Linked DNA regions of Sus scrofa. The protein of the gene in region 1 interacts with the protein of each later gene in a pairwise test. Links are inferred from orthologs where the notes say so. Each region holds a gene or a part of one and is shown in the gene's direction. Other genes may lie near its edges.

Region 1 (4,112 bases):
CTGCTGGTCTATGCCAGAACCACAGCAACACCAGATCTGAGCCACGTCTTTGACCTACACCACAGCTCACGTAATGCCAGATCCTTAACCCACTGAGCAAGGCCAGGGATCAAACCCAGGACCTCATGGATGCTAGTTGGGTTTGTTAACTGCTGAGCCATGAGGGGAACTCCTGTATTTTGGTTCTTATGACTAGTGTTGCTATGACCATCGTGCACAGGCTTTTGGTGTGGACATACGTTTTCAATGCCCCGGGCGTATACCTAGGCGGGACATCACTGGGGCATGTGTTCACATTTTGAGAACCTGCCAGACTGTTTTCCCCAGGAGTCCTCCCACTTTACATTCCCACCCACAGTGTATGACCGTTTCAAGGTTTCAATTTCTCCTTAACATCCCCGACACTTGTTATTGTCTGTCTTTTTGGTTTTAAGGAGTTATTATTTTTAGCCTCCTCCCCCGCCCTCACCCCAGGGATGCGGGGAGAGGGGGCTGCTTAGAGGATGTGGGGGAAGGGGAGGTAGGAGCTCTCCATTTCACCCTGAACCCGAAAGGGTCACCTCAGGACCCCCTGGAATGTCCTCTCCTTCACACACCCCCCTCGGGCGGGGCTGCTATAGGGGGCGATTATGAGGACCACTTGGGGTGGGAAAGGGCTTAACAGTTCCTGCTGGCCATCTGCCTCCAGGCAGGGGTTCCCTGGACACGCAGCCCTTTCCCGTCTGGCCCCGCCCTGAGACGTGGGCAGGGCGAGACCACGCCCCTTCCTGGGAGCCAGCTCCGCCCAATCTCCTCCCCTTAAGGCGCTCCGTCTCCCTGGGAAAAGAGGCAGACAGCCCGGGGCAGGGAGGTGGGGTGTGTGCGGGGGAGACATTGGTAGGAAGATGGCCAGGAAGGTGATGGCCCCGGACCCTGGAGCCCTGCACGCCCGAGTTCAGCCCTGCTCGACTTCTCAGGGGCTTCCATTCATTCTGAGCCAAAAGTGAACTGCCGCCCCCGCCCCAAACTGATGTAGCCTCAGGGACTGAGGGCCCGGGGGAGGCCGTCCTGGAGTGAAGGGACCGCCTGGCTGAAGACAGTCCCGGGGATGGAAGGGAGAAGGGACAGAACTGGACGGTTCTGGACCTGGGAGCGTCTCTCTTCTCAGGGCGAGGGTCTGGGGACCCTGGATGAAGTTGCGGTTGTGGTATTTCCAGAATAACTGTCCGGGTGCACAGAATAACACTCTGGTGGCGCAGAGTGAGGAGGATCTGCAAGTTCCAGGGTTAGGTGGAGTCTAAGGGCCCAGGATGACATTCTGGGAGGCGCAGAGTCTGGGTCCCTGGCATTAAGATGTGGGTGCACAGGAATTCCAGGGGTGCAGATTAGGTAAGGTCTAGGTGCGCAGGATGACATTTTTGGGTGCACAAACTGAGAGCCTGGGGGCTCCAGAGTGAGTTGGGGGCTTGACATCAGGGTCAATGCCCCAGGATCCTGTGCTAAGGGACCCTGGCCTGGCGCCGGGAGGCGGCTCCGGGCGGCGCCGCGGGGGACCGGGTGGGGCCTGTGGCCGGCCGGGGGCGGAGAAGCGGGGGTCGGGGTCCCTCCCCCTGGCGCGGGCTCAGGAATCCGCCGAGGGGCGGGCGGAGGCGCCGGGGTGGGCCGCGCCGCGGCAGGCGGGCGGGGGGCGCTTCCTGGGGCCGCGCGTCCAGGGAGCTGCGCTGTCCGCCTGTCCGTCTCCCGCAGGCACTACCGGAGCCAGCCGAGCCGCCGGAGCCGCGGGCCTCCGGGCCGTCACGGGCCCAAGTGAGTGGCCGTCCATGGGGGGAGGGCGCCAGCCAGAGTCTCGGCCGAGTCGGCGGCGTCAGCACCGAGCCAGAGGCCTGCGCTCCTCGGCCCGAGCCACTGGGGGACCGGGCGGGGGCGGGGCGACCCGGGGCGGGTGGGCCCTGAACCCCGGCCTGCGTGATCAGTCGACCCCCGGCCCTGGGAGGCTCCGAAGCCCCAGACACAGTCCCGGGCGGGTGGTGTCGGGGACCAGGTCTCTGAGTCCTGGTTCGGGCAATGGGGGATCCGTGGCCCAGACGCCCTGACCCCCACTCACTACCTCCCAGCCCCAGGATGCTCCCCTTCGCCTCCTGCCTCCCCGGGTCTCTACTGCTCTGGACGCTGCTGCTGTTGCTCTTGGGGGCAGCGTCTCCCCAGGATTCGGAGGAGCCCGACAGCTACACGGTGGGGACAGTGGAGCCCCTGGCCTGGGCTGGGCTGGGCAGGGACACCAAGACCAGGATCCTGGGGTGGCTGCTGCTGGGGCAGGTTCTCCCCTCCCCTGGTCCGTGGAGCAGCTGGAGCTGTTGTTTGGAGCAGGCGGGGAGGGTGGCCAAGCTTGGGCTCTGGTCTTGGCCTGGTCAGTTAGAGGAGAGGGGGTGACCACTGGCCACCTCTGGTCCCCCTGTAGGAATGCACAGATGGCTATGAGTGGGACCCCGACAGCCAGCACTGCCGGGGTGAGTATGCTTGGAGCACCAGGAAGTGGATTGCAACTCCAGCACGGAGAGCTGCTGTGGGAGTCAGTGGCCTGTCCCCTGCCCAGCTCTGCCTGGCCGTGGCCAGCTCTGGTTCTCAGGGGGCCAGCTTAGCTGGGGGTGGAGAAGCCATCCAGGCCCCTCCCTCTCAGAAAAACATGGGACAGCCTCCTCCCACCCCCCAGGAGTCCAGAGACCAACAGGGCGCTGCCCAGAGGCATGGTTCCTGGCCACCTCCTCTAATCACTTTCCCACCCAGCTTCGTGCCATCGTGACCTGGGAGGGCAGCGTCTGCGGGGGTGGGCGAGAAGGCCTGCACCTCACTCTTGGGCTGAGTTGGGACCAGGGCTCTGGGGCGGCATAGAGACCCTCTTGGGGATAAGAGAATGGAAGTGAGTGGAGCAAGAGCCAGCCTGCCACCAGCCCTGGTGGCACTGGGAAGTGGTCCTGGGCAGGCAGCCTTAGCTGAGGAGAGTGGGAAGGCCCTTCCTGGGTCACGCAGCTTAGAGGAGGCTGCACTGGGCTCCTGCCGCCCACCCCCTCCGTGGCCAGCCCAGGAGACTGGCTGTGCCCAGCAGGCCCCTCTCCGCAGATGTCAATGAATGCCTGACCATCCCCGAGGCCTGCAAGGGGGAAATGAAATGTATCAACCACTACGGGGGCTACTTGTGCCTGCCCCGCTCGGCGGCTGTCATCAATGACCTGCATGGCGAGGGACCACCACCACCAGTGTCCCCTGCTGAACACGCCACCCCCTGCCTACCAGGCTATGAACCGGATGAGCAAGAGAACTGCGTGGGTGAGTGAGGGTCGGTTGCCCTGGTGCTGAGGCTTCCAATCCTTCTATCAAGTGTCTATCACTGCATTTTAAAAACTCACAGCTCATGTTCCTCCCTGGCTCAAAAGCTTCCTCGGGGGAGTTCCCGTCGTGGCGCAGTGGTTAACGAATCCGACTAGGAACCATGAGGTTGCGGGTTCGGTCCCTGCCCTTGCTCAGTGGGTTAAAGATCCGGCGTTGCCGTGAGCTGTGGTGTAGGTTGCAGACGCAGCTCGGATCCCGCGTTGCTGTGGCTCTGGCGTCGTAGGCCGGTGGCTACAGCCCCAATTCAACCCCTAGCCTGGGAACCTCCATATGCCGCGGAAGTGGCCCAAGAAATAGCAACAACAACAAAAAAGACAAAATAAATAAATAAATAAATAAAATAAATAAATAAAAAAATAAAAAGCTTCCTCGGGGCCGCTGGCATAATAATATCCAGCCCCTTGTCCAGATCCTCACTGTGGGGGGCCTGCCCAGCTCCCGTCCCATGCCCAGCCAGCTTCCGGGATCCTCCTTTTGATCACTGCAGGTGCACCGCGGGAGCGCTCGCTGTCAGCCTCTTCCCCTTTCCTGGTTTGCACCCCACTCCTGGGTGCTATAGGCCTCAGAAGAAGGTTCTGGAATCAATCAGTGTTCCTGGGAGCATGGACAGGGCCTTATTTCCTCTGCTTCCCTGACATGGGGTCTCCCAGGGTAGGGGTGCCGATATCCCAGGGACTCCAGACCAGCAGATTCTTATTTGTGCTGTTGGGTGGGCTGTGCGTTCCTGTTTTGGGGGTGTCAGTCAC
Region 2 (4,230 bases), on another chromosome or scaffold:
ATCCGGGTAGGCTGAGGGTGATGGAGAACAGGACTCCTGTCCTGGGATGACGCTCAGATTTGCACGTGTCTCTCTAGGGAAGGACTTGAAGGTTCACACAGGGAACCACACAGCCAGTTTACAAAAGGGAGGAGGTGTTGTTGGGGAAGAAGAAAATGTCCTGTCCACCATCAGCCATCTGTCCACTGCCCCTCCCACCTGCCAGCCCCCACCCCCACTTCAGCTGTGCAGTAGAATGGGGGGGGGGTGGATGAAGGAAGCTCTAGCACGCCTAACATTCGCCTCCAGGAAACGAGAAACGTTTCTGGGGGTGGCGGGGTGGGAGGGGAGGTGGAGGGGGAGTTCATCGTACTTCACTGTGGTCTCGCCCTTTGAGGCCCAGGTCGGTGTACACAGGCTCCTGGGTCCTAGGGAGCCGGCAGATGGCCTGCAGCGCACGGCCCGGCCCCCACGCTGGCCACGTCGGCTAGCGTCATCTCTCTCCCCCGCCTCCTACCCCTCAAAATCCGGCAGCAGAGTTGCTCCGGATCCCGCAGGGCTCCCAGAACAGAGCTGAGTGGGGAGGAGAAAGGGGCGGAGAGCGAGGAGAGAGGGAGGGCGAAGAGCCGGGCCACCCCCGGCCTTTTCCGGCAAGCTTAGCTCCCAAGGTTCACCCGTTCCCGAGCATCGAATTACAGCAGCTCCCCGTTGCCACGCTAACAGCTCGTGGGGGTGGGGGAGGAACGGGGGCTTCAAGACCCTACAGGGAGAGGGAAGTTTCCTTTCTTGCGCTTGTCCCCTCCACGCCCACTCGGGTTCCCCCAGCCAGCCCTCTGCGCACTTCCCTCTCCTTCCGGAGACCTGGTGGTGGCCCAGCCTCGTCCCCCGCCACCGTTCTCGGCTCTCCTCACTGCCCCCAAGGCATCACAGAAGGGACGGCAGTGAAAGCGCCCGGGGAGCGACCCTTCCAGTTCCTCGCGTTCCGGGCTCAGCCAGTGTGCAAGTGGCGGCCCAGCGAGCTCCCTCCCACTGACTCCCGACCCAAGAGAGCGCGGAGCCCTCTTGGCGTCTCACCTCTTGCCAGTTCCTCTTTCTGTGCACGGTGGGGAGGGGGGCGGTGACCGAGGATGGCTCTCAGCCCCCACCTCCCGGAGGGGGGCGATCGGAGTCGGCCACTCGCAGAAGGCAGCCCCTGCTCCCCTTCGCCCCAACGCTGGGAATCTGCCCCTGCAGCCGCCGCAGCTGCTGCTGCCGCCCGGGCTGCCTGGGGGGGCGACTGCGCGTCACCTAGACTGAGGAGCGCCGGGGATTTAAATGCCACTGAAAGGGTGATCCATCACCGCAGGAGCCAGCAAACTTTCGCAGGAGGCTCCGCCATTGGCTGAGAGAGTCACGTGCCCCTCCCCTAGCGCCCTCCGCCCTCCCGCCCCCCCTCTTGCGCACTGTACATTCATATCATTTTTCTTCTCCGGCCCCATGGAGGAAGTGAGAAAGTTGGCACGGTCACTCAGGGCTTCGCAGGACCCGGTCACTCAGTGACAGATGGACAATGCAAGAATGAGCTCCTTCCTGGAATACCCCATCCTCAGCGGTGGCGACTCGGGGACCTGCTCAGCGCGAGCCTACCCCTCCGACCATGGAATTACAACTTTCCAGTCGTGCGCGGTCAGTGCCAATAGCTGTGGCGGCGACGACCGCTTCCTAGTGGGCAGGGGGGTGCAGATCAGCCCGCCCCACCACCACCACCACCACCACCACCATCACCACCCCCAGCCGGCCACCTACCAGACTCCTGGGAACCTGGGGGTGTCCTACTCCCACTCGAGTTGTGGTCCAAGCTACGGCGCGCAGAACTTTGGCGCGCCTTACAGCTCCTACGCGTTAAATCAGGAAGCAGAAGTAAGTGGTGGGTACCCCACGTGCGCTCCCGCTGTTTACTCTGGAAATCTCTCATCTCCCATGGTCCAGCATCACCACCACCACCAGGGTTATGCCGGGGGCGCGGTGGGCTCGCCTCAATATATTCACCACTCATATGGACAAGAGCATCAGAGCCTGGCCCTGGCCACGTATAATAACTCCTTGTCCCCTCTCCACGCCAGCCACCAAGAAGCCTGCCGCTCCCCTGCATCAGAGACGTCTTCTCCAGCGCAGACATTTGACTGGATGAAAGTCAAAAGGAACCCTCCCAAAACAGGTCAGTCTTGCCCTTCCATGAATGATCCTTGATTATTCAGGAAGGAGCCGGTATGCTTAGTTTCCAAGGAAAATTAATCAAGGTTTTGTTTTGTTTTTTTCTTTAAAATTCTTGCTTCCCACCGGTGTTGTAGGGTGTTGGGAGGCTGCCCAGGTGTGGTTGGCACAAAGGAACATCTGGGATTGTTGTGTTTCCAAGGGGGCTGAGTTTTAGAGGTTTTGGAAGTAGGACGTGGGAAAGTGGGTAGGTGTGTATGTGTGTGTTAATATCTCCAGGCTCCATTAATCACTGGTCTGACCATGCTAATGGGTGACTTCAGATGAACGCTTTACACCTCATCACTCACCCTCCCAAGCCCGGCTTGTGTTGAGAAATTCTTGATTCCCCCTTTGCCTGAATCTTGCTCTGAAGCCTACAGGGACTCTCATATCGAATATAAATTTTTTCCCCTTTTTTCCCCATCGCTTCCCCTTGCCCTCAGGGAAAGTTGGCGAGTACGGCTACGTGGGTCAGCCCAACGCGGTGCGGACCAACTTCACCACCAAGCAGCTCACGGAGCTGGAGAAGGAGTTTCACTTCAATAAGTACCTGACGCGGGCCCGCAGGGTGGAGATCGCCGCGTCCTTGCAGCTCAATGAGACCCAGGTGAAGATCTGGTTCCAGAACCGCCGAATGAAGCAGAAGAAACGAGAGAAGGAGGGCCTCTTGCCCATCTCTCCAGCCACCCCACCGGGCAGTGAGGAGAAGGCCGAGGAATCCTCCGAGAAGTCCAGCTCCTCGCCCTGCGTTCCTTCCCCGGGGTCTGCTACCTCAGACACTCTACCTACCTCCCACTGAGGCCGCCCCAGCCCCAGACTCGACTCTTCCGGCTGGGACTTCTTTCCCAAAGCACATTCTTAGCTTATCTTCCTGTCCATTTACAATCTCTCTCTTCCTCTCTGATCCTATCTGGGGAACTCCTGGCCAGGATACTGTGTTTCCAGTGAATTCTGGATTAGAGACTGGTGTGGGGGCAGGGGAGTGCTAGCTCCGCAATGCAAATTGAGTGCCAACATCAATTTTCTCAAGGCCCCTAACGCCCCTAGTTTTAGGAGATTTCTTTGACAGACCCTACAGTTCCTTTCAGATGCCCTTTGGAAAATAGTCTCCTTTGCCAGCAGAAACATGTCAGAGGGAGGCCTCTCATCTTATATCTAACCGTGTATTTACAGTTCTCCCCTACTCTGCCCTTAAAGTAGGATAGAGAGAGAAGAGAGTCCAGGAGCTCATGAGGAAGAGATGCACTATGAGCGTGTTTACACAATTAATTCACCCCTTAATTTAACTCAGTTTCATGTGTGTGAGTCTGCTGGTTGTAAATACTTTGTCCTGAAAGATTTATCTTTATACAGATTTTCTAGAAATGTTTAGATTAAGGGATGAAAATAGGGTGGGCAAACTCTCTAAGCTGGTACAACTTTGTATGTGATTATAGGTTAAAGACTAAAAGCTCCCAGTAAAATCAATCAGAGGCCTCAGAGGGTCGCCTCCGTTTGTTCTTTCAGCAAGTTAAGAAAGCCTGCAGCATAAAGGGTCAGAAACCTGGCTCCCTGGGCTGAGTCTCTCCCCATCCCCACGCCTTTCTCCTTTCTCTGGCCACACTCTTTCAAATTTGCGCTGGAGTATTCAGGACCCAAACGTATTATTTCACACCAGCTTCTTCCCTCCACAGTTATTGTAGCTGGATATGATGTATTTTTAGCTCAGTTGTTAATGTGATGGATGGCACAATGAATGTATATTTTGTGTGATTCGTGAATAGTCTTTTGCATGTCGCACAATGTCTTGATGTTCCCGAAGTACCACACTGAGTTTTATCAGTTATCCTTTGTGATAGTTCCCATTTCCTGTACAATCATGAACAGCTCCGAGATCCCAGAAGGATGTGATCCAGAGCAGAGTTTACGGGTCTTAAGATGTCTGTAATAAATATATTCAAGTTTCAGATATGCTTAAGCATCTCTGTGTCTGGCTTGGCTACAATTTGTTGGTCCCTACAAAGTTGGCTCCTTTCC

Evidence for each region. The genes of interacting proteins can lie anywhere in the genome.
Region 2: the proteins of EFEMP2 (region 1) and HOXA1 interact in a two-hybrid assay, tested with the Homo sapiens proteins (2 studies listed by BioGRID and IntAct). The link is inferred for Sus scrofa from reciprocal best matches to the Homo sapiens genes EFEMP2 and HOXA1.

Annotation. Positions count from the first base shown.
Region 1 is NC_010444.4:6,453,886-6,457,997, forward strand, and holds the start of EFEMP2 (EGF-containing fibulin-like extracellular matrix protein 2), read left to right. Parts: upstream 1-1,269; 5' UTR 1,270-1,368; intron 1,369-1,725; 5' UTR 1,726-1,785; intron 1,786-2,093; 5' UTR 2,094-2,100; coding exon 2,101-2,211; intron 2,212-2,437; coding exon 2,438-2,486; intron 2,487-3,096; coding exon 3,097-3,303; intron 3,304-4,112. UniProt on the Homo sapiens protein: Plays a crucial role in elastic fiber formation in tissue, and in the formation of ultrastructural connections between elastic laminae and smooth muscle cells in the aorta, therefore participates in terminal differentiation and maturation of smooth muscle cell (SMC) and in the mechanical properties and wall integrity maintenance of the aorta.
Region 2 is NC_010460.4:45,476,139-45,480,368, forward strand, and holds HOXA1 (homeobox protein Hox-A1), read left to right. Parts: upstream 1-1,422; 5' UTR 1,423-1,521; coding exon 1,522-2,176; intron 2,177-2,657; coding exon 2,658-3,013; 3' UTR 3,014-4,168; downstream 4,169-4,230. UniProt on the Homo sapiens protein: Sequence-specific transcription factor. Regulates multiple developmental processes including brainstem, inner and outer ear, abducens nerve and cardiovascular development and morphogenesis as well as cognition and behavior.